4 linked regions of the Struthio camelus genome follow. The protein of the gene in region 1 interacts with the protein of each later gene in a pairwise test. Links are inferred from orthologs where the notes say so. Each region holds a gene or a part of one and is shown in the gene's direction. Other genes may lie near its edges. The genes, in order: PLEKHF2, L3MBTL3, RABAC1 and MBIP.

The links.
Region 2: the proteins of PLEKHF2 (region 1) and L3MBTL3 interact in binary tests that used the Homo sapiens proteins (3 or more experiments, as listed by UniProt). The two-hybrid records come from large-scale screens. The link is inferred for Struthio camelus from reciprocal best matches to the Homo sapiens genes PLEKHF2 and L3MBTL3.
Region 3: the proteins of PLEKHF2 (region 1) and RABAC1 interact in binary tests that used the Homo sapiens proteins (3 or more experiments, as listed by UniProt). The two-hybrid records come from large-scale screens. The link is inferred for Struthio camelus from reciprocal best matches to the Homo sapiens genes PLEKHF2 and RABAC1.
Region 4: the proteins of PLEKHF2 (region 1) and MBIP interact in binary tests that used the Homo sapiens proteins (3 or more experiments, as listed by UniProt). The two-hybrid records come from large-scale screens. The link is inferred for Struthio camelus from reciprocal best matches to the Homo sapiens genes PLEKHF2 and MBIP.

Annotation. Positions count from the first base shown.
Region 1 is NC_090943.1:148,700,376-148,707,232, reverse strand, and holds the start of PLEKHF2 (pleckstrin homology domain-containing family F member 2), read left to right. Parts: upstream 1-3,838; 5' UTR 3,839-3,882; exon of another isoform or gene 3,883-3,967; intron 3,968-6,857. UniProt on the Homo sapiens protein: May play a role in early endosome fusion upstream of RAB5, hence regulating receptor trafficking and fluid-phase transport. Enhances cellular sensitivity to TNF-induced apoptosis.
Region 2 is NC_090944.1:70,676,986-70,683,905, forward strand, and holds the start of L3MBTL3 (lethal(3)malignant brain tumor-like protein 3), read left to right. Parts: upstream 1-3,917; 5' UTR 3,918-4,028; coding exon 4,029-4,042; intron 4,043-5,651; coding exon 5,652-5,763; intron 5,764-6,920. UniProt on the Homo sapiens protein: Is a negative regulator of Notch target genes expression, required for RBPJ-mediated transcriptional repression. It recruits KDM1A to Notch-responsive elements and promotes KDM1A-mediated H3K4me demethylation.
Region 3 is NC_090980.1:287,235-294,478, forward strand, and holds the start of RABAC1 (prenylated Rab acceptor protein 1), read left to right. Parts: upstream 1-4,227; 5' UTR 4,228-4,287; intron 4,288-5,062; 5' UTR 5,063-5,082; coding exon 5,083-5,159; intron 5,160-6,362; coding exon 6,363-6,560; intron 6,561-7,244. UniProt on the Homo sapiens protein: General Rab protein regulator required for vesicle formation from the Golgi complex. May control vesicle docking and fusion by mediating the action of Rab GTPases to the SNARE complexes.
Region 4 is NC_090946.1:55,850,595-55,858,243, reverse strand, and holds the start of MBIP (MAP3K12-binding inhibitory protein 1), read left to right. Parts: upstream 1-4,627; 5' UTR 4,628-4,674; coding exon 4,675-4,809; intron 4,810-7,135; exon of another isoform or gene 7,136-7,398; coding exon of another isoform or gene 7,399-7,422; intron 7,423-7,649. UniProt on the Homo sapiens protein: Inhibits the MAP3K12 activity to induce the activation of the JNK/SAPK pathway. Component of the ATAC complex, a complex with histone acetyltransferase activity on histones H3 and H4.

The DNA of each region.
Region 1 (6,857 bases):
GGCTCGAGAAACGTAGTGTCCTACATAGGCCTCTTGAGAGTCGCTCAGCAAGCCCAGGACGTGCCAGCATAACTGGCTTTTCATAGGCTATGGCTGCGGTCCTTTGCGGGCATCTTGGGGAAGCAGAGAGGTCCTGCCCTGACTACCTTCTTAGCTCGTGGCACCCTCAAACCCACAGGAGAGCTTCCCGTCAACCTCCATCTCCTGGGGATGTAAAGAGGCAGCTCTGTGTGGCTCAGCTTTTCCCGCTGGCGTTGTTCCATTGTACAGCAAAGGATTCACAATTCATTTGGAAAGAGGTGAGAGGGACCATGAGGCTACAGCCCTCACGTTGTATTTGTCCCCTCCAAGAGGAGAGCACTAAGCTCTGGTGTCTGCTTCTGAGACTGGGAATTAGGTGTTTATGTGCCTTTGAGATCTGGATCTAGGCCTCAGTCTGTTGGAGAGCTTAAATGCAAACTGTTCCTGGAGGAATGGAAGTCTGAAACCGTTTTCCTGCCAATCCACAGTCAGATGCTATTATCATTGCTTAAAGAAACCCGAAGGGTTCAAATATAGCATAACTTCTGTTTGCCTGCTTCTAATGCCAGGAGATGTAAAAGCACCCTAAAGGGCTTCTAATGCCAGGAGATGTAAAAGCACCCTAAAGGTTTGTCCGTCCATATTTTCTTAATTGAGTTATTGCTCATTGCTGTTGAAAGTGAACACAAAAAGGTGTTCCTCCTCTTAAGCCATAGCTCAGAATAGGACAGTTTAAGGATGGAAATCCAAATTTCAGCTTATGGTTTGTTCAGAAATATATACATGGAACTTGATTCCTTCAGTGTTTTCTAGAACACTTTACAAAGCCGGGTTCACGACAAATTAACAGGATCTGCGTTCTTACAGATCCTATGGTCTACACTTTTAGTAACATAAATATGCTCTGAACTGCAAAAATGCTATGCCTTTCTAACCCTTGGAAACCAAAAATTGCAAAACTTAGGACCTACTGATGTTTTTTAAAAAATATCTTTGATTAATTTCTAATAAAGGATGGAAGGGCATCTTTTCCGTTCAAGAGTGGAAGTTTAGAATTGGGCATTACAGATTATTTAGTGAGAGCTGAAGTTAAAAATAACACAAATGTTTGCAGGGACAGTAAAAGACACTGCTCTGTAGTAAACAAAGAGGTATTTCTGGTTTGGCTTCTGAGTCCTTTCTTCTCAGGGTGTCAGCTGGCAGTTTGGCTGTGTAGAAAACTGAGGACAAGAATGCTGTTTGCAAGAGAATCGAGTTTCTGCAACTAAAATGGGATAAGTGCCAAATGAATGAAAGGTTGTTCTATGTCTGTATTAATTTTTGTTATAAACATAATTTTTGGGGAAAGGCCTTGCCCCTTCTGGCTACCTCTTTGCCAAATTCTTTCATTACCTTTGATGTACAATATGTGTGGCTTCCTCATTATGACGAATTCTCATCAAACTAAAACTCATAACATAGATGACAGAATTTTTCAGCTTTCTGTTGGCTGATTGGAAATTGCCTTCAAGTTCTAAAGACATTTTGAATACAAAGATGGTGAATAAAACTAGTCAGAAATTCATACTGTGTTAAAACACAGCGATCCCTTTCTGTTTACAATGTCAGAGAAGCAATCTATCAGAAAACAAGTTTGGCGTTTTTTCTTCATTTCATTTTTTTTCTTATGTTGAGAATAAAACTCTAACCCCACCTGGTCCCTGCTGAAGTTAACGCACACATTGACCTGAACCTACTCAGAGAATCAAGGTTTTCAAAAATCATTAACAGTAAATTTCCATACTTCAAATTTGGCTCTAGTTAGCTAGGTTAGTTGGCTTCAGTGGACTTGCCAAGAAGTAATTGATTAAAGGTTAGCAAACAGGCATAATAATGTTTCAGAAGAATATGAACTATAGGTGTGCTGGCTCCTACAGAATGCATAGAAATAGAAAGCAGCAAAAACTTAGTAAAGGTTACTTATATATGCTATAAACATAATAATATGCTTATATATTATACTACATAATATCAGTATAATAATTTATGTTTTAATGAATTTTTACAAAATCAAATGACACATGATGTTATGGAGGTGAAAAAAAGGAATTGGATAAATTTGGTGACTATCAAATAGAGTTTTGATTGCAACCTCTAGCACAGTAAGCCCACCTGTCCAAAAAAAAAAAAAAAAAAGACTATTGGAAGCTCAGTTCATGAAATAAATATTTAATTGTTCTATTTTTGTATTTTCTTCCTAAGCCTACACCAGTGGTCACTCTTGGGGACAGGGCACTAAGTTAAACGGACTTCAGACACGACCCATTTAGGTTAAGTGTGAAGAACAGAGTGGTCTGTTTTGAGCATTGTCAACTTTTTATCTGTTTATATTTAGTTCTAGTTTTTGACTTCAGCAAGCTGGAAGAGAACTCAAAAAGGAGTGAGGAAATGGTAGGAGCTGAAAAGAGCAGTCTCATAATTTGCAGGAAAGTTAGAGAAAAGAAAATTGTCATGGACAGACTACACAGCCCTCTACCAGAGTTTGAAAAGCAACCGCAATACGATTTGTTTGGAGAGAGAAGGGGAAAAAAAAGCATTAATAAAAAAGAAGTTTTTCACGCACACTTGGTTTCCTAGCTGTTACTTCCTTTCTACCCAGACTCCTAGCGGCTCTTCTGGGTCTCTTGTCTCAGTGGGAGATTTGCTCTCCTACAGCAGGGGGCCTTTCTCCTTGACACGGTTTGTTGATTCTTCATCAGGAATCCATGGAAGGGGGTCAGGTTTGGTACTCGCATTAGCGATTTGGGTTCCTTACCGCTGCGTGCTTGGGAATTCACTCTCTGAGCTGGGACTGCATCTGAATGACCCCTGTGGCGCGAATGCGTGTCAGTGGCCCTTCTCATCTGTCCCGGCCATTCGTCACACCTCCCTGCAGAAGCAGTTGTTCCCGAAGCTACAACCGTGACAACCCAAACCGAGCACAGCTCTTCGGTTCCCGTGATTTGTTAAATCCTTTAGGGCAGCGCTCAGCTTGGGCTGGGCCTTGCGGGTTTGGGAGGAGAAGCAGCCGTAGGAGCGGGGGCACTGCTGTGTGCTGGGCATGGGCAGCTCCAGCGCAGCGGGCTCTCCCGGTGCCGGGCGGGAGGACACACGCGCGGCCCCCTCGGCGCTGCGCTGCGCCCCGCCGCCCTCCCCCAGAGCGCGCCAGGCCGGGGGCTCCCCACGGCTCCCCACGGCCCCCCTTTTCCGCGCGACCATGCCAGCTGCGATATGAATTCCTCCTGACGTCACGTTTAAAAAAACGCCACTGCCAAAAATGCCACAAGCTCACTTTTAACTCTGCACCTTCATCAAGGCAAACAACCCTGCCTTACGAATCTGAATCAAACTCAGCAACTTTAGTGGGCTCATTATTACCCCTGGAAAGCCACACTGCCTAAGCGGATTTGTCCCCCCCCCCCCCAGAAAAGCCAGCCGCTGTACTGCCCAGTAAATCAGCTGAACGGGAGATGTGGAAAACGAAACTCTGCTGTATTTCACGTTAAGCGAAACTTTTTCTTAAAACAGCTTCGGGCCGTTTGCCACAGGGCAGTCCCGCCCGCTGCAGCGGGGCGAGAGCAGGCAGCGCCGCGTTAACGCCGCGACGACCGCGCTCCGCTGTCACTTCCCTGCGAAGCTCGCAGCAACCCCGAGCCAAAGCCGGGAAGCAGGAGGCGGCGCGGACAGGCCGGAGCCGGGGCCGAGGCGGCGGCGCGGAGCGGACGGAGGCGCCACCCCGACCCTTCCCGCTGGGCCTCGCCCCTCCCAAGATGGCGGCGGCCCCGCCCCGCGCGGGCGGTGCCCGACCCCCCCCCTCCGCGGCGGCGGCGGTGGCGGTGACGGGTGTGTGACCGCGGCTGCGGTGGGCAGAGGGCGGGAGGCGGCAGCGACTGGAGCGGAGGGAGCTGCGAGCGCCGGGCGGCGCGGGGTGAGGAGCGCGGCGGCCGGGGCCGGGCGGGGAGCGAGAGGAAAACTTTCCTGGCGGAGCCCCTTCGCTGCCGGCCGGGGCTCCGGCCGCCCTTGCGCGGCCATGTTGGGAGCCGGGGGCTGCCTGGCGGGGGAAGGAGCGGCCCCGGCGGCGGCGGCGGCGGGCTCCGCCGAGCCCCGTGGGCGGCCTCGGCCCGGGCTGGCGGCGCTGGGGTGCCGGCCGGGCGCGGCGGGGAGGGCGCGGGCAGCCCGCGGCGGAGCGGGGCGGCGGCGGCGCGCCGGGCTGGCTGTGGGGCAGGGCAGCGGCGGCCGGCGCTTGTTTTTTTCCCCCCGAGGTGCCGACAGAGTTGCCGAAGCGAGTTCGTCTTTACAAGGGGCGCGGGGGGGGGGAGAAGCGCAGCCCGAGCCGCGGCCGCCCCGAGGCGTTACATAAGTGCGCGGGGCTCCTGGAGCCGTGACGGGCGGCGGGGCCGGGGCGCCCGGCGGGAGCGGCTGTGTGCGGGCGGTGCGCGGAGCCGCCTGCGCGAGCTGCAGCGGCCCTCGCCGAGCGCGGTAGCGAGGGCGGCGGCGGCGGCGGCGGCGCGGGCGTCCTGGTAACTTTCAGCTACTCGTCGTTTTCCAGGCGAGCAGAGCGGCTGCCCTGCCGAAACCTTCTGGATGCTGTGGCTTTAAAAAAACAAAACAGACAAACAGGTGAAAGCGTGGAGGGCGCATCTGTCAGCGGGAAACTTGCTACTTCGCTGTTAAATTTGCCTCTCTTGGAGAGGAACGCGACTGGTCTGCTTAAAATACCTGGGGCGCCTAAGTTGTCCGAGAGCGGTTCGAGCTAAGGCATCTTGGCCGCAGGTTTTCCCTTTTGCCTGCGCTGCGTGCAGAAAACCCCGGGTTTATAAGTAGCTAGTGAATGAACTGTTCTTCATGGTGGGGGGGGGAACCCCAAAGAAACAAGCAAAAAAACCCAGTGAATTGGTCTACGGAGAGTGCATCCTGGCGTCTGATTTGTCCTGATTAACAAAAAATGGCTTTGGCTTAAGTTTTGACGTTAAGCACCAGTGCAATAGTTTGCGATACCCTAAAACTACCTGTTATATCGCTTAACCACATATTAAGACTTCCTTTGCTTCTGTTTCGATCGCGTGGCTGAGAGCGGTGCCGGAGGCAGCATTAACCTCTGACTCAGTCTGTGCCGCGTGCCGGGTGATTACTCTGGGGGTTAATGCTTTTTGGACAAACGCTATGTTTCAGGCTCTCATGTGCCTATCGCTTTGCCTACTCTATTAACCTTGTCTAAACCTAAACCGACTCTGAGATCAAACCCACAAAACTGGAATCAAATTTGGAACTGAGATTACTAATTTCTCTTACTTTCTCTAAGTAAAGGAAAAACTTAAATACGCAGCTTTCACATTCTAAGAATAGTAGATTTTGAATTATTTTCAGGGATGGTCACCTGAAAGAAGGGAAGTATTTAAAGACTGCAGTGTAATTACTCAGTGTTGAGCTCCTACAGATGCTTGTTTTATGTGAGCACATCAGTGTGAGAAAGGAATCAAGTTTTTAGCAATGAATGCAAATTTTTTCGCTTTTGAACTATGTGGTCTAAATACTATTGACTAATCAGGTGAGAATCCTTATGTAGTTAAAGGTCATGCATATCAGCTCAACTTACTTAATAATACTTTCCAGGGTGTTTCAGGGCAGTGTAGCTTATGTTCGAAATGGCATGCTAGCTAAGTGTCCAAAGTGCAGTGAAAGTGAAGCCTTGTAAGCATTACTCCCAAATTCTTCCTTCTAAATGTAAATAGACCATGTGGCGTTTGGAGTGATTAAGAGGTTTGTTCTGTGTAGAAAGCTACACAGAGGAATTCCCTTAAATGCTAGATGAAAACTAGTGAGTAGAAATTTGGGACTGGGGAAGCTGGATCACTTTCCTGCTTCCTATCTTTTACAATTAAGCAGAGCGATATCTTTTCGTCTGGAAGCAAGTTTTCATTAAAACCAGGAAGGAAATCGTTCTTTAGCAAGGGCTACGTTCTGTTTTCCTTAAATTATGGACAGAGATTGTAAGTTAGTATTGCGTACTTCTCTGGACTAACAGAAGATCTACCGTTAACCTCCTGAAGCCCATTAGTTTACGCGTTTACAGTAGAACGGTTATTGTGTTCAGATGGCGTTGCGACTTCTTGGTTTCGCCGTTGTGCTTATGGATGCAGGAAGGCTTCTTCTTGTCTGGTCAGAGCAGTAAAAGCAGCCTGGAAGGGCAGTTTTTAATGAGCCGGGATATCGCAGAGCGCGGCAGGCACATCTAGTTTACCCTGCCAGGAAGAGCCGAGGGAGTGCAATAAGGCAGGGTGTTGCCTGCAGGGTAGGATATGAACGGTTTTTTGTTACACTCGGAGCGTTTGTGGTGCTTTATCTTCCCCAAAGGGGGCTAGACATGTTAAAATGAAAGCTTAGGGTCGAGATATGGCGTGTCGATGAGGCAGAGTTGTTTTTACGCCTGAAGATATCATTTTCTGAAAAATTAGTGGTAACTAAAATGTTAGAAGTATTGGCCAAGCAAACAAACGGTATGCAAGTTTTTATTTTTAAAGGCCATTTGTTAGTGGGTGATGTCAAATAAGGAACTCCAGTGTTAACTGCGGATAAGTTTGTTAGATGTTGGTAGGTAAGAAAGTTAGTTAACTTAATGCTCTCTCTTTTTTTTTGTATTAAGAAGTTAAACTTTATTCTGTACTACTTTAAGTTCGCAAGGCATGCTTTTGACTTATTCCAAGCTCTGTTAATATTCAAGATTATTTTTCCATTTAACTCATGTGGATTTTTTTTTTTACGGTTGTTGATATCTGTGTATATATGTTTTGCTACTTTCATAGACTAATTCCATAATT
Region 2 (6,920 bases), on another chromosome or scaffold:
GTTACCCAGTTCCTAGCAGTGGTCCAGCAATACCAGTGTTAGCTTACCGGCAGAGACCAGATTCAGGTGAAAGCATCATAAGGCTTCTCAAGCACTAGTGCAGAATTACTGTTATCAAAGAACAGATTCCGTGTATGAGGAAAAAAACTTTAAGCTGATCTACTGGAAAGCAGGAACAGACGTATGCAGTGCCCCTGGAGAATCTAGCAGAGAAACGAGTAGCAACAGCTAAAATAAGAAGAAATAATATTAAAGGCATATCATCAGTAGGAAGTCTGGTTCGTTTACTGCTACACGTGTTAAGAATGGTGAAGAATTTTAAATTTAGGTCCTTTGTGACTACAATGCCAACCTATATATCTTATCTTTAAAATAACTATTTTGTAATAAACTTTGTGAGTAACAGGCAAAGTAGTGAAATTGACGTTGCTCAAACAGCTCTTGAGTGCACAGAATAGAAAAATGGCAAATCTGGTAAAATATTTTTTAAACTACAGTATGAATAATGAAATTTGAAAGGAAATGTGTGATCTGCAGATACTTCTTACGATAAAAATATATTATTAAATAGGTATAAAACAATGTGCATATTAAAATGTGGTGGATGGCCTCAAAGCATGTTACCAGTTTCTGCACTGTGGTTGTCTTCTTCAAGTAAAGAATCAGCTGCAAAAAGATTAAATGGAAGAGAGAGGCAAGTGTGCAGTATACTCAGCTCAAACCAGATGATTGTGGGAAGGAAAGCTGGACTCACCATGATAGCTTTACAGTGAATAGCAAGTAAGTCTTTTTCCTTGTACCGCCGTTCTGCACAACAGTTGGCTTAAGTTTTGCTTTGCCTTCAGTGTCATGATGAACCTAGCTTAATACAAAGTCTGTCTAAAACAGAAAAGGGAGCTTAGGTTGCGAAGGATAATTCTCCTTTGTGTGGCTTGGGGGTATAATGATTCAGCCCTGATATTTTTCACTTTATTCTGTGATAAAGGGAATAAAAATGAAAATGAGCATCCATCCGTCTACTGTCTAGAAGTTAGAGCACTCTATTTGCTGCTCTGATACACTGAATTGCCCCCATCTGATCCACTTCATTTTCCCTATGTGTTATAAATGTCCCACCTATCTGTAGATATCTGCAGATACTACACTAAGCAGTCTCCTTCTTGGACCTGACCAAAACAGCTATGAGCAACGTTAGGACAAAAAGCTGGGCTGGGGCCTACTCTTGTTCCTTTGTTTCTGAACATCTCTCAGCACTGGCATCTCCCAGCTCCATGGGTGTCTTTGAGGAACAGGGAACATCGCTAGGATGTCTGAGGACATCACCTCCCATATTTGATGCTCTCATTTCACACCTTGCACCGTTTGTTTAGACCACTTCTGGCTCTGTTTGTCCTATTTTTCTCTTTTCTAGCAAGAGTTGTTAGTTGGGGAAGGGAGCAGGCACAGGCTTGTTCTCTCCTGGAACGAATCTACTGGGCACTCCTGTCACGGTGGTTTCAGGAATCCTAAAAAATAAAATAAAAGTACACACGAATGCAAAAAGGAGTGCACATGCTTATTCACAGATGGATTCTGCTGATCCAGTAGTACTGTCTAAGGGCTTTACTTTTGAAATCTCCTCTCTTTGCTGTTGAGTGACCCCGTATTGAATTGGGCACGTTCTGGTGAGAAATTGTATGTACTACTACCTTGCACACGTCATAGATGGCATCTTAGATTTTCAAAACTTAGGTAGGTGTCAGGTAATTTTTTAAAGCCCTGACTGAAAGAAAAAATCCTTCTATTATTACTTTTTGACATACTTAGTACATAACCCTGTAATTATTTCAAAAAATACTTGTAGGTTTAGTTGGCATATTCTCTTCTATTTCTTAGCTTTAAGTCTTTAAATAGAGAATCTTCCACCAGATTAAATTATCTAATTTTTAATGCTGTTATTCTCGTTAAGTATCAGTTCTGTGAAGTATTCACTTATTGTTGAGCCAGTTGGTAAAAATGAATGGTTTTCTAAAGGATGCGTCTAATCTTCTTTCATAAGCTTGTTTATTTTAAGACATTTATTAAATATGTCTAAAACAAGGTTAATGTTGAAACATGAAAACGCAGCACACAGCTTTAAAACACTCCTCTATATATGTTACAGCTTATGGCTGGGAAGACTGAGATACAGTTATGTCCCTAATAGTGGATTTTGGATGAGGCTTTTGGAATATGAATGTTCCACGTTCTTATTTTGTGTCCTTACCTTCACATCAGATGGCATTCAGTGATAGGCATAGGTACAGTATTGTAGTAGTACTCCCCATATTAATTCAGTATTTTTACTACGTTCCTAGAGTTGTGTATGATAGCAAGAGGCGTTATTATAAAAGGAGTTCAGTTATACTAGTTCAGAGAACCACACCAGAGCTTTAAAGATGAAAGTGGAAATGAGTAGATAAGGCATTCCGTAGTTTTCTTTGTTCTGTGATTTAGATGTAGATACTGTAATGCTTTCATCCTTTTTTAATTCCTCATTGCTATAGTGATTTAATTGGTCTGCTTCTTCCTCCTCATTGTCCTTAGCAGTGGGATATAGACCTATCAACCTTGATCTTTCATCTGTTCAAACTCAGCAAAGCTGGAAACTGGTACTTTGTTAAATGTGGCAGCTTTGGGTAAATTCACTTCAATCTGTATTGCCCCATTACCTTTTCATCCCTACACAGAACAGTTTGGAAGGCTGCAAAGAGGACCAGTAGGTGAAAGTACAGATTGTGCCTTTAATATTGAGTTTAATTTTAGAAAAAAAACAAGAGTACCTTGTCAAACAACAGAATACACCATTGCTACTCATTATTACCCGATGAAAGCTTTCTTAGGTGCAATTAAGTTAAAATTTCTATGGTTTTCTTGAGAGAAATGTGCACGGTACGGTTCTATTATTAGTATTTTATTTTGACTTTCACAGTTTACATCCTGCGTAAGTAGTCTAGGCTGTAAGTTTCCCCCATCCCCCATCATTTTTTGGCAAGTGATTCTGTTACAAAATGTTTATATGATGAGAGAAGCTCTATCAGAAACTCCAGAATGTGATATAGCGGCTGTCTGCTGCTTCTCGCTCTGTGGGACAGCGACCACTGCAAGAAAGCGTTTCCCCACAGTCTTCAAAGTCTCTTCCCATTTTTTGGTCATTCTTTCTGCAGAGCAGAAGCCATTAGAACGTTTTCTGTAATAAATACACCACAGCATAGTTGAGTGCAGTGTTCTTTAAATGGGATGGTAATTTAAGATTACTTAGAAACTTTAGTTAATACAGAGTGAAGCTTTGTGTTTGCTTAGCCAGACTACTCATGAGGAACACATTACACCAGTGTGCTTAAACAGCATCTTTTATGTCCTTAAAATTTCATGGATTTCTGGGTAAATCCAATTTTTCAGCTAGTCCATAGCAGTTGAGGTAGGTCTTGTGTTTCTGAGAGGATGCCTACATCTCTGCCATGATGTTGCAGTTTAGTTCGGTGTAAGCCTGCTTAGGTTGGTATATTATAGTGCTGAAGACTGGATTCTTAGGACGGTCTAGAGCTCAAGTGTGCTACTTTCTTAAGTCAAATAGAGATTGTCCAGGTTGAATTTCAGGAGGTGCTATAAGCTGGAGTGATGCATTTTGCTTGGGAGGGATTTTAGACGGTGAGTTGTATGGGTTTGAGAGTTTTTCAATTTACCCTAAATTTATTTAGATTTATTGATATATTAAAAGTGAATTTTTGTACATTGGTGGTAGGGTTTTCAATATGTTCACACAGAGAAAAACTAAAATTAGAGATAGAAAAGAACTAAAATTAGAGATAGAAAAGACTCATTCAGTTTTGTTCTTCTTCAAATTTGTTTTGTGACGTCTATAAAGTTTTGTAAAAAAAAAAAAAAACTCCTGTAGGCACAGGTAGCTATTTTCTCCATCTCTGAACCCGACCTGTCATACAAAATGAAGAGGAATGCAGAAGCCTTCACCGTCAGCAGTGGTTACTGATTGAGGTCCTGCTTCTGTCATGTTGTTGACAAGGTATAGGGGCTGTATTGTAACAAAAGTACTAGTGGATTAAGGTGTTGCTCAGGGTGGTAAAAACTTTAGAATTCTGCTATAAATGAAGAAGAAATCATGCAGAAATATAAAGGAGTTCACACTGCAAACACAAAATGAGAGTAATGTCTATCTATAATGTTCAATTGATGGCTATAATTTTTCTACTGCAAAAATAGAAAGTTGAATATTTTTCACACAACAGTTAATAATTAAGTGTTTTCTCCTCAAACTTTAAGTCAGAAGCCTCTGGTAGATCTGAGTTTACTTCTGCTGGGGTTGCATCTTTTTCTATCATCTGCGAGTAATACAGTGAACGCATTTCACTTAATCTTTTTTGTGGAAATTCCAGATATTGAGAGAATATTAACAAATATTTGCAGAGAGTAGGTTTTGTGGGTAGAATTTTTAGAGATAAAAAATTAGATTTTAGAAACTGGGGTCAAACAGCTGGGGAAACTGCCTGCCTGTTTGAATTTCAAATACTGATACTTGCAGCCAAAGTTTGCAAGCGGTCTGCAGGCTGAGTATGAGGCTTGGAAAGTATTTGTTGAAAAAGTTCAAAAAGTGTAAATTTCAAAAGAAATAAGCTTTTGGTGAAATAAGCTTTTCAACTGTTAGGTGTAGCACAGCAGTCCTTAACAAGGAAAATAATTGAGTCAAACTTCATGTTGAATAAATACTAAATTAGGTGCCAGCCCACAAATTTAAAGATCTCTGGGTTTGTAAAAAGTAGAAAGGAAGAACTTAGCAATAGTCACAAATGGCTGCTAAAAACATTTACAGTTCAGCACAACTGATGTCGTATTTGTGATAGTGACAGGAGTTGTATAATTGTATTGCTTGTGCAAATGATTGGAGATAAATTCTTACAACAGAGAAGGAGGTCCAAGTCTACTATTTCTAATGGTAAACAAATATTTTCTGCTCTGCTTTCACTGCAGTGAAACAGAAGGATACAGTAAAATAAAGTCTTCCAAAACAGCTGTTTCTCTGGTGTGTATATGCTTGTCTATATGTAAATACATTTTAGAAATAAATAACGAATATTTGGTGAGCCTATATGGTGACAGACAAGGAGTATTTGTATGTTCTGAGTCAGACAATGAAAGTGAAGGACTTTCAAATTCAATTTGAAATTTTAATTTGGACTGGAATGAAGTATGTTACCAGATATTAAGGGAAACCAGTTATTTTAATCAGTTCTTACGATGTTTATTATAGGCATGTGTTTATGCCTTTCATTCCCTAGAATATGTTTTTCTTACATATTTCTAGGATGTGTTTGCCCAACGTCAATCTTTTTGCAGCTTGAAATTATTTATTTCTCTTCAGTTCAGCTCATTAATAAGTAGTGTATAAAGTAGATACTATTTTCTACGTTTTTCAAAGACTTGCTGTTGTTTTATTACATTAGTTTTTATTATCAGCATAGTTCTGTACATTGTAAGTGTGTTGAGGGATTTGATACTAGTCTATGCATTTCAAAGTGCATTTGAAGAAATGTCCAGTGATTTGAGCATTAAACTACTTTAATTTACAGGTAAAGCCTTTATATATATATATATATTTTTTTTTTTTTTCTTTTTAGTACATGCATCATGAATGAATCTGCCTCTAGTGGGAATGGACAAGAGTTTGATGTATTTAGTGCTATGGACTGGAAAGATGGGATAGGTACTTTGCCAGGAAGTGATCTAAAGGTAAGATACGTAACTTCTTAATAAGTGAAATAACAACTTTATATGCCAAAAGAATGTATTACAAGTTGGTGTGTAGGTATCTGCTTTTATGAATAAAACATGCAGCTCTGAGTTAAGAAACTGTAGCCTGTTAGCTTTTAGCTCTGGAGTTTCTTGATTCAGTTTCTGGTGCTGGCAAAGACAACAGTCATTCCCGTAGGAAGGCATAAACGAGCACTGCCTCACTATTAGGACAGAAGTAATCAAGTGCACAAAATCCAAGACGTCTCAGAAGTTAGTGTGTAAAATCAGTCCTCTTAAAGTATAATACTAACTAAAAATTTTTTACAGTCACTGACACTTAAGTCTCATGTTCATAGTACTTTTTTTTTTCTAAGAATAGTTTATTTTTCTGTACCTTTGTCATGTGGGTGTCTTAAAGCACCCACAGATATTAAAGTAATACATATATTGATGTTTTAAAATAAACTGTTTATTTATCTGATACTTTTTTACAGTGTCCTCAGAAGGTATTCAGCTGTTTTAAGTAAAAACGCAGCTTCGATATTGGAGACTTTCTTGCACTTATTTCTCGTTGGTTAAAGTCAATATTTTCGTATAATTCTATTTATATTAACACTGATAGACTCTTTTCATAGTTTAATTTTTAAATAAAATCTCACAAATTCTTTTAAAAAGAATTGTAGTTCTTAAGGAACTTTTATATACCTTAGTGCCTAATACAATTTATGTTGTTGAAGTGAAGAATCAAGAAATGTTTAAAATACAGGACAGATACATTGCAAGTGTCTTTTTTAGAGTCACAGAATCATAGAATAAAATCACAGAATAATTTTTTTTGGAAAGGACAGCAGGAGACCATCCAGTCTGGCCCTCACTTAGAACAGGGCCAATTTAGATCAAGTTGCTCAGAGCCAGGTCCTGTAAAGGTTTGGTTATCTCCAGCAATAGAGATTGCACAAACTCTCTGGGCAGCCTGTTCCAGAGTTTGACCAATCTCATAGTGAAATTCTTCTTTCTGTTGTTACTTAATTGGAATTTCCTCTTTTGCAACTTGAGTTGGTTGCCTCTTGTCCTTTTACATTGCACCTCCAAGAAGAACTGGCTCCATCCTCTTTATAACCTACCACTAGAGTAGTTAAAGGCAGCAGTAAGAT
Region 3 (7,244 bases), on another chromosome or scaffold:
CTCCTGGGGGTCCTGGGATGCTGGGGGGGGCTTTAGGGTGCTCCTGGGGGGCTTTGGGATGCTCTTTGGGGAGCCTTGAGGTGATTCTGGGGGGGCTTCGGGGTGCTTCTGGCTCAGAGCTGGGTATGGGGGTGTGCTTGGGGTGCTCCTGAGGGTCCCTGGGGTGCTCCTGGGGGGCTTTGGGGTAATGCTGGGGGGGCTTTGGGGTGCTTCTGGCTCAGAGCTGGGTATGGGGGGGGTGCTTGGGGTGCTCCTGGGGGTCTTTAGGGTGCTCCTGGGGGGCTTTGAGGTGCTTCTGGCTCAGAGATAGGTATGGGAGGATGCTTGGGATGCTCCTGAGGGTCCCTGGGGTGCTCCTGGGGGGCTTTGAGGTGCTTCTGGCTCAGAGATAGGTATGGGGGGATGCTTGGAATGCTCCTGGGGGTCCCTGGGGTGCTCCTGGGGGGCTTTGAGGTGCTCCTGGGGGGCCTTGAGGTGATGCTGAGGGGGCTTTGGGGTGCTTCTGGCTCAGAGCTGGGTATGGGGGGGCTTGGGGTGCTCCTAGGGGTCCTTAGGGTGCTCTTGGGGGGCTTTAGAGGTGCATCTGGCTCAGGGTCAGGGCTGGTTATGGGGGGGGGGGCCTTGGGGTGCTCCTGGCTCTGGGTTGAGGTTGGTTTCGGGCGGGCGGGCTGGGGCTGCCCCGTTGCCCCGTGTCCCTACTGACGGCCGCGGGTGGCCCCGAGCTCGGAGCCGGGCCCTGCTCGGGACAGAGCTGCCCTCGTGTGGGAGCGGGGCGCACTGCAGCGGGGCGGCCGGACGCCTGGGCCCACGCGGGCGGTGGGGCCTGTGGGGCGAAGCAGGCCCCCCCCCCCCCCCCGGACGCCTAGGTTCTCCCTCCGACGCCGGGGAGGGGGGCACGCCCCATAAGTGAGGTCACTGCAACCCCCCCACCCCCGGTCACAAATACCCCCAAATGTTCCCAAACCCCGAGCACCCCCACTCTGCCCCCCTGTCTGCCCCAATGCAGCCTGCTCTCTGCCCTATAGCCCCCCATCCCCTTCTGCTCTATAGGCCCCATATCCCTCCTCTGCCCCCAATGCCCCCCCTGCCCCGTAGCCCCCAGCCTTGTCTCTGTCCCCCATGCCCCACAGCTCCCATCCACTCTGCCCCATGGCCCTCTCTGCCCCATTGCCCTGAAATCCTCCCCTGCCCTATGCCCCCCCGCCCCATAGCTTTCAACCCCTCTGCCCCATAGCCCTCCCTGCCCCCCAGCCCTCTCTGCCCCATGCTCCCCTAGGCCCATAGCCCCTTCCCCTCATGTCCCCCTCTGCCCCCCATAGCTGTCTCTACCCCATAACCTCCACCCCTCCACCCCCATAACCCTGCTGCATGCCTGCCCTGCCCCATAGCTCCTAATGCCCCCCATAGCCCGTAATTCCCCCATGCCTCCCCACCCCATAGCTCCCAATGCCCCCCACAGCCCCCCTGCCTCATGCTTCCCATGCCCCATAGCCCTTAATGCCCCCCACAGCCCCCAATGCCCCCCACGCCTCCCCACCCCATAGCCCCCAATGTGTCTCATAGCCCCCTGCCTCATGCTTCCCATGCCCCATAGACCCTAATGCCCCCCACAGACCCCCTCCCCGCGCCTCCCCTGCCCCATGGCCCCCAGTGCCCCCCATTGTCCCCCCCGCCCCATAGCCCGGCGCAGCCCCGGCGCTGCGGGCGGCAGCCGATAAATCTTCATCAGGCGGCGGTGATTAACGGGGGGGCGGCGGGGAGCGGGACCTGCCCATTAGCGCTAATGGGAAGATGGAGAGGGGCTGTCGCCGCCGCCCCCGCGCCCCCCCCGCCGCCCCCGCGCCCCCCTCCCCGCCGCCGCCGCCGCCGCCACTCAGGGGCCGTTTCCGCCCGCTGCCGCCGGGGGGGAGGATGGACGGGGGGGGGCACCGGGGCAGAGCTAGGGGGCAGGAGCGGGGGGATCTGGGGGGCACCAGGGCAGAGCTGGGGGGGCAGGAGGGGGTGACTTGGGGGGAGCAGGAGCAGGGGGATATGGGGGGGGTCTCGAGGAAGAGCGGAGGGATCCGAGGGACAGGAGCAGGGGGCATCGGGGCAGAGCTGGGGGGCAGAAGTGGGGGGACATGGGGGGCAGGAGCGGGGGATAGGGGGGTCTCAAGGCAGAGCTGGGGGGCAGGAGCAGGGAGACCCAAGGGGCACTGGGGCAGAGCTGGGGGGCAGGAGTGGGGGGACATGGGGGGGTCTCAAGGCAGAGCTGGGGGGCAGGAGGGGGGTGACTTGGGGGGAGCAGGAGCAGGGGGATATGGGGGGGGTCTCGAGGCAGAGCGGAGGGATCCGAGGGACAGGAGCAGGGGGCATCGGGGCAGAGCTGGGGGGCAGAAGTGGGGGGACATGGGGGGCAGGAGCGGGGGATAGGGGGGTCTCAAGGCAGAGCTGGGGGGCAGGAGCAGGGGGACCCAAGGGGCACTGGGGCAGAGCTGGGGGACAGGAGTGGGGGGACATGGGGGGGTCTCAAGGCAGAGCTGGGGGGCAGGAGCAGGGGGACCCAAGGGGCACCAGGGCAGAGTTGGGGGGCAGAAGTGGGGTGACTTGGGGGGGCAGGAGCAGGGGGACCTGGGGGCCATCAGGGCAGAGCAGGGGGGCAGAGCTGGGGGGGCAGGACCAAGAGGGCTGAGGGACTCAGAGTGGGGGGCAGCCGGGGGGAATTTGGGGGGGAGGAACTGGGTGGCAAGACTGGGGGGGCTGGATGAGGGAGGAGAGACCTGGGGGGCTCAGAAGGGATGGGGGGTCTGGAGAGAGGGAGGGAGTCTTGGAGGGATGGAGGGAAGGATGAGTGGAGAGACAGGAGAGAGAGAGGTGTAGGCGGGTGGAGAGATGGAGAGGTGGAGGGATGGATGGAGAGATGGAAGGAGGGATGGAGGGGTTGAAGGAGGAAGAGGGAAGGGTGGATGGATGGAGAGACAGAGGGATGGATGGATGCAGGAGTGGATGGAGAGACGGAGGGATGGAGGGGTAGAGGGAGGGGTGGAGGGGCAGCCGGATGGATGGACGAGCGGATAGAGGGGTGGATGGAGGGAGGGGAGGATGGACATGCATGGACAGACAACCAGGGATAGCTGGGCAGAAGGTGGGGCCGGGCTGTGCCCAGGGTCCCACGGATGGACAGACAGTCCATCAGGTGCTGGGGGAGGACAGATGGACAAACAGGCACCGTGGGAGGACAGACTTGTCGCTGGAGGTCCTCAGTGGCTCTGGGGTGCTCCTGGGGACCCAAAGATCCTGTGGAAAGATCTCTTGAGGGGATCCCCAATGTCTCTTGAGGGTATCCTTGAGGTCTCCTATGGTCCTGGGGTTTCTCTGGGGTGTCCCCCATGCCTCTGGGGTGTCCCAGGGGTCACTTGTGGTCCTGAGGGTGGCTTTGAGCAGTCCCTGGGGTCCTCCATGGTCCTGGAGAGTCCCTGGGGGGGGTCCCTGGTGGGTCTAGGGTGTCCTTGAGGTCCTCAGTAGCCCCGGGGGGGGGTCTCCATGGGGGTTAGAGGGTCCCTGGTGCCTCAGGGGAGGTCCTGGGGTCCTCAGTGATCCTGGCAGGCACCTGGAGGTCCACGAGGTCCTCAGTGGTCCCAGGGGTCTCTGGGGTGTCCCTGATGGGTCCCCAATGGCCCTGGGAGTTCCTGGGGGGGTCCCCGATGATTCTGGGGTGTCCTTGAGTCCTCAAGGGACCTGCAGGAACCCTGGGGTGGCCCTAGAGGGTCCCTGAGGTCCCCAGTGGTGCTCGAGGGGCCTCTGGGGGAGGGTCCCAAGGGGTCTTGGTGGCTCTGGAGACTCCTTGGGGTCCCTCATGGTATGGGGGGGTAACCTTGAGGTGTCCCTGGGGTCCCCAAGTGTCCTGTGGGATCCATGGGGGGGGGTTCCCGGGGTCCTCAATGATCCTGGGGGTGTCTATGGGGAGGTCCTGGGAGGGATCCTGGTGGCTCTGGGGCATCCAGTTATCCTGGGGGGGTCCCCCATGGTCTCTGGGGACCCTCCACAACTGCCTGGATCGCGGGGGGATGGGGAGGCCACACCTCCCTCCCCTAAAACACCCCCATCCCCCAAACACCCCCGCCTTGCACCGTGCCCCCCCCCGCAACTGGGAGGAGGGGGAATAAACTACATCTCCCAGAGTGCCCCGCGCGGGGCGCCGCTCTCCCGGCATCCCTTGCGTCCCCCCCCCCCACGACGTCCGCCCGCGCCGCGGCGCCCCCCCGCGCTGCCACGCGGCACCGCGCTTCCGCCCCGCGCCGCGAGCAGGTGAGGGCGGGGGCGGGTCGCCATGGCGACGGCGAGCACTGAGGGGGGCGCCATGGCAACGGGGGAGCCCCGGTGGGGGGGGGGGGTCTGTCCCGGTTCCCGCCCCCCCAGTGATCCGGCCGCAGGCCCCATAACCCGCAACCCCCCCGCCAAAACCTCCCTGCAGCCCCATAGAGACAAGGCCTGAGCCCCCCCCCCCAAACAGCCCCATAGAGTCAAGGCCTGAGCCCCCCCCCCCAAACAGCCCTGCAGCCCCATAGAGACAAGGCCTGAGCGCCCCCCCCCAAACAGCCCCATAGAGTCAAGGCCTGAGCCCCCCCCCCCAAACAGCCCTGCAGCCCCATAGAGACAAGGCCTGAGCGCCCCCCCCCAAACAGCCCCATAGAGTCAAGGCCTGAGCCCCCCCCCCCAAACAGCCCTGCAACCCCATAGAGACAAGGCCTGAGCGCCCCCCCCCAACAGCCCCATAGAGTCAAGGCCTGAGCCCCCCCCCCAAACAGCCCTGCAGCCCCATAGAGACAAGGCCTGAGCCCCCCCCCCCCCAAACAGCTCTGCAGCCCCATAGAGACAAGGCCTGAGCGCCCCCCCCAAACAGCCCCATAGAGACAAGGCCTGAGTGCCCCCCCCCCAAAACAGCCCTGCAGCCCCATAGAGACAAGGCCTGAGCCCCCCCCCAAGCCCCTGCCCCAAATTAGCCCCCTCATGTCTGCAATGGGACATCCACCCCCCGACATGGGGGGGCTGCCACCCCCCCATAACCCCCCATTTCTTCCAGCCCCCCCCCCCGCCAGCACCATGGCGGGGAGCCCCCCCCAGGAGCATCTCTTCAACCCCACGACGGAGGGTGACCCCCTGGCCGGGCTGGGCACCAAGTGAGCATTGGGGTGGGGGGGGGCGGTGCTGGGGGGCACAGGGTGCCATGGGTCAGGGCCTCGGTGGGGCTGTGGCCGCCATGGGGCTGTGGGTGCCGTGGGGCAGGGGGTACGGTGGGCCGTGGCCCCATGGGGCGGAGGGTGCCGTGGGGCAGGGGGTGCCGTGGGGCAGAGGGTGCCGTGGGGCAGGGGGTGCCATGGGCTGTGCCCCCGTGGGGCGGAGGGTGCCGTGGGGCAGGGGGTGCCGTGGGCCGTGGCCCCGTGGGGCAGGGGGTGCCGTGGGCTGTGCCCCCGTGGGGCGGAGGGTGCCGTGGGGCAGGGGGTGCCATGGGGCAGAGGGTGCCGTGGGGCAGGGGGTGCCGTGGGCTGTGCCCCCATGGGGTGGAGGGTGCCATGGGGCAGGGGGTGCCGTGGGCCGTGGCCCCATGGGGCGGAGGGTGCCGTGGGGCAGGGGGTGCCGTGGCCCGTGGCCCGTGGGGTGGAGGGTGCTGTGGGGCAGGGGGTACGGTGCGCCGTGGCCCCATGGGGCGGAGGGTGCCGTGGGGCAGGGGGTGCCGTGGCCCGTGGCCCGTGGGGTGGAGGGTGCCGTGGGGCGGAGGGTGCCGTGGGGCAGGGGGTGCCGTGGGCCGTGGCCCTCTGGGGCAGGGGGTGTCGTGGGCTGTGCCCCCGTGGGGCGGAGGGTGCCGTGGGGCAGGGGGTGCCATGGGGCAGAGGGTGCCATGGGGCAGGGGGTGCCGTGGGCTGTGCCCCCGTGGGGCGGAGGGTGCCGTGGGGCAGGGGGTGCCGTGGGCCGTGGCCCCGTGGGGCAGGGGGTGCCGTGGGCTGTGCCCCCGTGGGGCGGAGGGTGCTGTGGGGCAGGGGGTGCCGTGGGCCGTGGCCCCGTGGGGCGGAGGATGCCGTGGGTCGGGGGGTGCCCCCGTGGGGCGGAGGGTGCCGTGGGGCGGGGGGTGCCCCCATGGGGCGGAGGGTGCCATGGGGCAGGGGGTGCCGTGGGCCGTGGCCCCGTGGGGCAGGGGGTGCCGTGGGCTGTGCCCCCGTGGGGCGGAGGGTGCTGTGGGGCAGGGGGTGCCGTGGGCCGTGGCCCCGTGGGGCGGAGGATGCCGTGGGGCGGGGGGTGCCCCCGTGGGGCGGAGGGTGCCGTGGGGCAGGGGGGGTGCCCCCGTGGGGCAGGGGCCGTGGGGCAGCGCGGCGTCCCGGCCGCAGGCTGGCGCTGCCGGCGGCGGCCCGGCGGTGGCTGGAGGGGCGGCGCGCGGGGCTGCGGCCGTGGGGCGCCTTCCTGGACCAGCGGCGCTTCGGGGCCCCGCGCACCTTCGGGGAGCTCTGCCAGCGCCTGGCCCACAACGGCGAGCGCTTCCAGAGCAACTACCTCTGCGTCTTCCTCGGCCTCATCCTCTACTGCCTGTGAGCCCGGGGCGGGCTGCTGTGGGGCAGGACGGGGGGGTCATGGGGTGGGATTGTGGGGCAGGACGCGGGGGTCATGGGTGGGATTGTGGGGCAGGATGGGGGGGTCATGGGGTGGGATTGTGGGGCAGGACAGCGGGGGTCATGGGGTGAGACTGTGGGGCAGGACAGGGGGTCATGGGGTGGGATTGTGGGGCAGGACAGCAGGGGTCATGGGTGGGATTGTGGGGCAGGACAGCAGGGGTCATGGGTGGGATTGTGGGGCAGGATGGGGGGGTCATGGGGTGGGATTGTGGGGCAGGACAGCAGGGGTCATGGGATGGGATTGTGGGGCAGGACAGCAGGGGTCATGGGTGGGATTGTGGGGCAGGACAGCGGGGGTCATGGGGTGGGATTGTGGGGCAGGATGGGGGGGGTCATGGGGTGGGATTGTGGGGCAGGATGGGGGGGTTCATGGGGGTGGGATTGTGGGGCTGCTGTGGGGCAGGATATAGGGTCATGGGGTGGGATTGTGGGGCTGCTGTGGGGCAGGATGGGGAGTTAAGGCTGGAGGCTGCTATGGGGCAGGATTGGGGGGTTCGGAACAAGGGACTGTGGGGCTGCTTTGGGGCAGGATGAGGGGTCAGTGCTGAGGGTATTGGGGGCAGTTGTGGGGCAGGGGGGACAGGATATGGGGGTTGGGGG
Region 4 (7,649 bases), on another chromosome or scaffold:
GAGTGCAGCGGAGGAACTTAAGTGTTTTGCTGTTTATCTTTTTCAAGGTTTTTTGAAACCTCCCCTTTTGGGGGAAGGGAGGAGCCTTTTATGTGCCCTAGAGATCCATTTCAGGGATGAAAGGTGCAGAAGATATAATCATATCATGATAATTCTACCCCTAAATGTTGAAAGCCATTCCAGATTCTTCCCTTCCTTAGTAGTCACATCATTAAAAATGTGAGAACTGCCATTATTGCCAAGTTGCATATATTTAAATCTTCCAATCCTTCTTTCTAAACCAGTGTATCTACCTCCAGCAATCCATTTTCTAATTTTGTAATGTAATATTCCATTTTCTAAGCCAATTTTCTACAAATTCCCTCCAAATTACCAGTATCTTGCCAGTAACAAGAGCTTCCAATATTTTATTGTTTCACCAGCTTTACCGAGCGTGGCATGTAATTTCCTCTGCCTTTATGTAAGGCCTGGATTTACTGTGGCCAGTTTTACTGCCAAGGCGGTTGCAAGTGTACTCAGCTTCCCCGAGCACTATGTGCAGTGAGCATATAACCATCTTTTGGAACTCTTCTATTCTGATCGCTCTCGTCCATTAAATAGGAATGCTTAACAGACTTTGTCTTAGCTGTATCAGTGTGTGTTTCCCCTAATTTGTTCTCATTTTCCCACATGTTCTGATGTTTCTAATCTCTTAAATCCCTTTGGATTATTTCTCTGTTCTCATTCATATTTGCACAGGGTGTTACATAATTTAATCTGTCAAATTTCAGCTGATACCAAATGTCTTCATTCAGCAGCTGCAAAATGGATCAAGACCCTCTGAGGTAACAGTGCCTTCTATATCAATAGGAATTATTAAGTTTTCTCTAAAAGGAAATATTTGCCATCAGCTCTCTGACATTAACCATCCTGCAGACCTCATGGTCTCTTGCCTACTTTTCTAGCAATGATCACTGAATAAGTGACAGAAGATCACCTCCACCTTCTCTTGATATCCTCCACATTCTCACGTCCATTGTCCCTTGTATTTCCATACGTAACACATATGGCAGTGTCACCACCAGTATCTTCCTGACAGTACTTATCTCTTTATTTTTCAGCAACATGTGAAATTGTTTTTGTACCCACAGAGCTCTTGTAGAGATAAAGATAACATGCTTGCAAGCAAAGGAAAGATCTTAGCTCTCTCCCACTTAGTAAAGCTACACCTAACAACTGCAAAATTAGACACACACCTGCTCCATGATTCCAGGAAAAGCAACATTTGTCTGAAGTGGAATTTATCAGGTAGCTGAACATTTTTCACTTTAATTTAAAGCTTGTTTCAGATGTCTGGCCTTCATCTATCCTTGGAGGTCATTTGAGATTCAGGAAGAGCAAAATGCATCCTCTGACACTGAGCAACAATGAATACCAGGGTATTATATCAGTGCTTCACATTCTATTCTGGCCAGCAAATTACTTCCATGTTTATTCAGGGTGTTACAGTGTTTGGCGGGGGAAGGGAGATTGTATTTTCCTTCAGTCTTGAAAGCTTCATGATTTGGATCAAGTGAGAATGACAACATTCTGCAAAGTTGGTTCAGCTGTCTGTCCAGAGATAGCACTGCAGGAGTCACAGGCAGGGCAGGCGCAAGCAGCTGCTCCTTGACCATAAACTGGAATTAGCGTTGTTGGACAGAAGTGCAAAATAATATTCTGCCATCTTTTTTGCCATTCATTGCCATGGCCTATATATGTGTTTAAGATGTTGTCTTTTCGTAAGAGCAGTATCTTTGCAGGAAATAAGTGAAAATATAGATTAACTCTACATTTCTGAGCTTCAAAAATCAGGAAAGCATTTGGCAGTAAGCATTTTAAAACCCAAAGAGTGTTTCTTATCATCCAAATCCAGCAAAGTGCAATCTAGCTTGTTTTAGGTAAGATATTGTAGCTCTCCATGTAATATATTTATAAAACTTTAGCACTGAAGTCCTCTTTGGAAATAATTTTCCTCTTCCAGACTAGGACTTTCTGTATTCAAGTCTTTTCAAATATTTAAGTTGGTTGCTGCATGGAGACACAGAACACTAGGTTTACTGGGAAGTATTTTCACTAAATTAACCTAAGTTTAGTCTTCATACTTGAGAGAGGAATGCCTTTAAAATATCTACCAAAATATAATTTAAATAAATTAATCTGCATGCTAACATTTTTATTCAAGAATATCAGTCTGCTTTACCGTTTGTATATATGGCAACACACACCATTTCCCAGTGGAACAGAAAATATATCCTCATGTTATAGGTACCCTGATGTAAAGAAACTGTCATTTTAGCTCTGAAGACTAGCCTTCAGGTACATGCATGATGTTTTCCCAGTAGAAATATCAGCTTCAGCACTATACTACATGCTGAGCTGATCACTTGGGACTTACCTAACAGTAAAGCTCTAAATGCACGATTTCCATTGTGTTTTTACCAGGGATAGTAAGTGCATAGCAGTCAGTCTGTGGTAAATAACAGGTGTCTTAGCAGTGAAGACAAATCCTGAAGCTCCAGAACTTGCTTATGATCATGCAAAAGCCTCCCAAAGGTTTAGTTTAACAATAGCAGCTAGAAAACAAGTACCAGTTGGAATGGCAATACCACCTGGAAAAAAGAAAGGGTGGTGAGGACAATGGGACACAAAATGAAACAAAACCATGGATCACAGCACTTTCTCAACATCTCAGAAGGCTTAACACCATATGAAAGGGAAACTACACACATCTGGTTTCTGTCTATTGCAGAAAGATAGTAAGGGGCCAGACATGTAAGCTAGGTGAACTAACTGTAGAAGCAAGCAAGGAATTCCCAAAAGGAGTAATATCATCTGACTACTTTCTACAGTCCTCAGTTTCCTTTGACTAGTTAGCAACTTCCTCAACATCCTTCTTGTTGTTGTTCTCTTACCTTCATTCCTACCATCATCCCTTTCCTTCCTCTCTCTTTCCCTCACCTCTTCTCTCTCAGTATCCTTTCTGTTTACTGTTTTAGTCTTCCCTCTTCAACCATGCCTTTAGCATAATTTATACCTACAATATCTCAACATAGCAGTAAAATGTAGAATTACTTTGTTGTTTGCCAACTTCACAAACTATCCGCCCATTCTGATATTTTTGATCTGCGGGCATCCTCTGCCCATCTTGTCTGTTTAGATGTCCTCTTGCCCTTAACGTTCCAGCATTGCTTACGAATGGTCTCTGCTCAGGATTTTGCAGTTACTGCAACTGCCATGACATAAGATAGGGAAGAAAGCAAAATGTCAGGACTGCCGTATGGTATACAGCTATGTGATCTTCCCTATACCGAAGGAGCAGAACTGGCCCATAAGCCTAGAAGGACCTTCCTCAAGAGAAGAGAAAGGATGAAAAGGACCAAGAGAAACAACTAATTCTAAAGGAAAACTACTGAGAGAAGGGAAATAGGAAGAGAAATGAAGTTAGAGGATCAAACGTAGGGTATCAAAGGAAATACCAGACAGAAAACCTTTGTCAGCACCTACTGTTCTAGGAAAGAACTCAAGCAGACTGTCTTAGAAGAGATACAATCATGCAAGCCCCATAGTCAGAGTACTCTGATAAACTTGCTCCTTGTGGTCTGATGAAGAAACAACCTTGCTGTAGCCAGAAGGGTCAAGGCTTTGAAGGGAACTACAGACAAGCGTACCAAAGTGAAGGTATATCCAGCAAAGCACAGCTGAAACAAGCACACTAATCTGATATACTCTCAATAAACACATGGTATACCTCCCTCCATGAAAGAGCACTCAGTTAGGGTACTCCTAAAAATGTGCCTGCCTTTGGCCAATGCTCACAGCTCTATGGAGTCCCTTAAACTGGGCAAGAAGGCAAACAAAAGGGTGAGGGGGTAAGGTCATCCCCACCTTCTGGGGCACAGGGAAGGGAAACACCACAGGAGCAACTGCAGTCCAGGGTTCAAAGCCTGGTTATACCAAAAATGCCAAAGCAGCAGCAGAGAGGTGAGCCTATGTCACCGGGTCCAGACTGTGACTTTGCAAGCAGCAAGGTGGTCTTCCGCAATGGGCCTGAGCTGCAAAAAGCTTCAGAGTCCGAGGGAGGTCAGCAAAGGGAGTAAAAGCTATGACGTTCCCTCAGCCATGGGAAACAGAACTGCTTGCCATACCGGAGAGCTCAGATTTCACAAAAGAAGGTGCTCCGCGCCCCCCCCACACCCCGAGAGCCCACATACACTCCAGCCCGGGGGGCACCAGAGGAGGATGGTCAGCGCCTGGCCTGGGCCAAGCCAGGGCCTGGGCCTGACTCTCCCGGGCCCGAGCCGCACTGTAAGTGCCCAGAGGCGGCCCTGCCCACCCAGTTCCTACACACTTTATCACGGGAGCCCCCAGAAGCGCGGGGAGGCAGCGCTCAGGACTCCCCCGGGGAGCCCCGTCCCCCTGGCGCTGCTCCCACAACCGCCTCCACCGCGCTCAGCCCGCCATGGCGGCGGCAACGCCCCGCCGCCGCCGCCGCCGCCCCGCCCGCAGGGCCGCCGCGCTCCCCGCTCGCACGGCCGGCCCGGCAGCGCCGCTCGCCATTGGCTGCGGCGCCTGCCCATCAGGCCGCGGGGGCGGGCCCGGCGGGCAGGCGGCCCGAGGGCTCGTCATCGCGGAGCGACGGCCTGGCCGCGTGTCATGGCGGAGGAGGAGGCAGCGGCAGTGGCAGCGGCAGTGGCGGCGGCGCCCAGCCCGGCCCAGCCCGGCGCCGAGCCGGTAGCCTCGGAGGTGGCGAGCAGCGCCCTGCGCTCCCTGGCCGCGCTGGCGGGGCAGGTGAGTGCGGGGCGGGGGCAGGGGCAGGGCCGGCCGCGGGCCCCGCCTGCGCCCTGCTCGCCCCGCATTGGGGCCCCGGGCAGGTGGCTCCCCCCGCGGTTAGTTTTAAAGTGCGTGCCCGGAGAGGAGAGGGGCCTGCCGTAAACAACGTGGTGCGCGGCCGGGGGCTGAGCCGCGCAGGGCTGTTCATTGCCTCGTGGCACTGAAGCACATCTCGGGGCTTTTTAATCGGAAGGATGGCTTCTGCCGTGAGCCAGAACGGCTGGCCTGCCGCCGGCCAGCTCTGTCTTGAAAATCGCTGACTGCGAGCTCAAAGGCTGCTAAAAAAAAGTTACTGTAGATTAAATTAAAAGAAGTGCCTGTCTGTGGGCTGGGACTGTAAAAGCGGCCTTGCACTCTAGTGGTTCAGTTGAAACACCAGCTTTAGTGATGGTGATAAATTATTGTTATTGAATAGATGCTACGTTAGTGGTGAGAGGCCCTTGTTAAGAGAGGGCTTTAGTTTACAAATTAAGTCCTCCTCAATTGTGCTGGCACATACGCAGTTCTGTCAAGGCAGTAGAAACACTCATGCTTTTAAAACTAGACAACAGTTTGGTGGTTTGGGGTCAACTGATGAGCAGTAGCTTAAACGTGAGGGACAGAAGGTAACTTAGTATGTTTTTAGCTTACCAACATAGTAAGAAATGTAGTCTAATCAGGTATAGAGGTAGTTTGGTAATAATTGTTGACTGATATGAAATTATTTTTTTTAGAGCATCTTACCTCTTTTCGCAATAGAAGCGTATGCTGTATCTGCCCCTCACCTCAAAGTGGCTGAGGAAACGTCTTAGTTCTCAAGCAAAAGGCATCCAAAATTAAGGGCTTGAAAACTGGGGCTCTGACTAATAAGGATCTCGGCTTTCTTAACTGTAAAGGGAATAAACACAGCCTTGGCTTTTGAACGTGAATGCTGTGTTAGACAACGATCATACACAGCTGAATATTAGATACGTAGAACTACTGTGACAGGAAAACTATCCGTGTATGGGATACATGGATGAAATATCCCATAATTCTTCATGGTGAAGAATTCTAAATCTAATCAATGAAGAATTAATGACCATCGTTCTACCCTGATGGATTATTGTCATTCTTCTATGTTATTGTTTTTATAATGCTAACGTGACTGAAAGGTCAAACTCTCATGAAAAGCATGGGGAGGAATAAAGATAAAGATGTTATCTATGGTGCTCATCACACGTTCAATTAACTGTTTTTAAATCAATGTTAAGCACACTAGTTTCTGTCTCTTCCTGTAGTTTCTGTCTCTTTCTCAGTCGCTTACCTGTTCCCTAGTTTGCTTTAGCTGTGCTAGGTCTGGTGTGTCACTGTGGAAAGCTTAGTGATAAAACAATATTTAGGTGTTGACAGACAATTGCAAGATTCAGATTTGAGTGGCTACATCCCCTGAGCTGAGTTACAGTAGTTAAGGTGCAGAGTAAAATTGCCCTCGTTGGCATTTGGCGTATCCTTGTTCTATGACAATTTAAGCTTATTTCACTGTGCACTGAAACAATCTACAAGTAAGTTAGGGCTCGTTGCTCCAGCTTAGCTGAGGAAGCACTAACCCTTTTAATTACTCAACCACAATCATTTGCAGTTGTCCAGTTACACTCTGTGTCTGCTAGCACTTGAGTTCCGATAGATTTACTTGTGGTTTTTTACCAATTTAACTGACTCTAGTCATCCATCCTGTACCTTTGACTGAAGCTACTGATTCCTGCTTTCCCGATTATAGAGATGAGTGAAGTGAAAATGGGCCAGGTCACTGGCTATCCAGTTTGTCATACATCATACTAGCTTAAATTGGACTTAGGCGTATATGTTGGACTGTAAACAGGAACATTTCTGGCACAGGAATTTGTTTATTAGAGCAAACTTGTGGCAGAGGGCCTAGGAGGGCAGCTGGGAATTATAACTTTTAAAAGCAATGTGACTTAACTCTGGAAAGTTCTTTAAGCACTGAGTGACAGTCATTGTCTTTCATAAAACTGTTACAAAGGGCTAGAATGACTTGTGTTCATGTAAATTGCCGCAGAATAGACTATTGGCCTATAAATACACAGAAACATTGAAGTTACCAAATCGCAGAATTTCTAAGCCTACTTGTCACAGTTCTTATAGGTAGAGCATGACACAGTGAGAAAACTAATTATATTGTACTAGAAGCATGTTCAGATGCAGGATAGCTTTATTTTCTGCTTATTTGTAAAAATACTGTCTGAATTTAGAATAGCATTTGGTAACATTCCTAATCACTTGTCTTTAAATTATTCTAAGCCAGAAGCTCAACTGATTCCGTACATTGAACCATCTTGATAGGAGCAACAACTTATAATATGAAGGCACATGTTGGCTATTGCTTTTTGAAAAAAGAGGACCATTAAGGAATTGCATTAGACCTCCTGTTTTGTTCCGTTAAAGATGACTTACATCTACACCTTTTTTACCATCTCTGTGGACTATAATTTAGTATACAGCACATGTTACTCTAGAAACTTTGGGAAGAAATACTTGCTTCAGATAATGCCCTTCAGATGATCACATATGCACAGTTATTTAATTCTTAAGGTAAAGTTTAATTCTTAGTTCTTACTAAATTCTTAATACGCTCTTGAATTAGTAAGGTGTTCAAAACATTGCTTTTTCTACATCCTGTGTAGATTAAGTACTGAACAGGAAAATAGCTTGTGTGAAAATGGTCTAAAATATATGTCTAGCCAGACAAAGAGATTGATTCAATCAGTTGTTGTTTTATAGTGTGTTTCTAATGTTTTGATACACACACAAAAAACTGC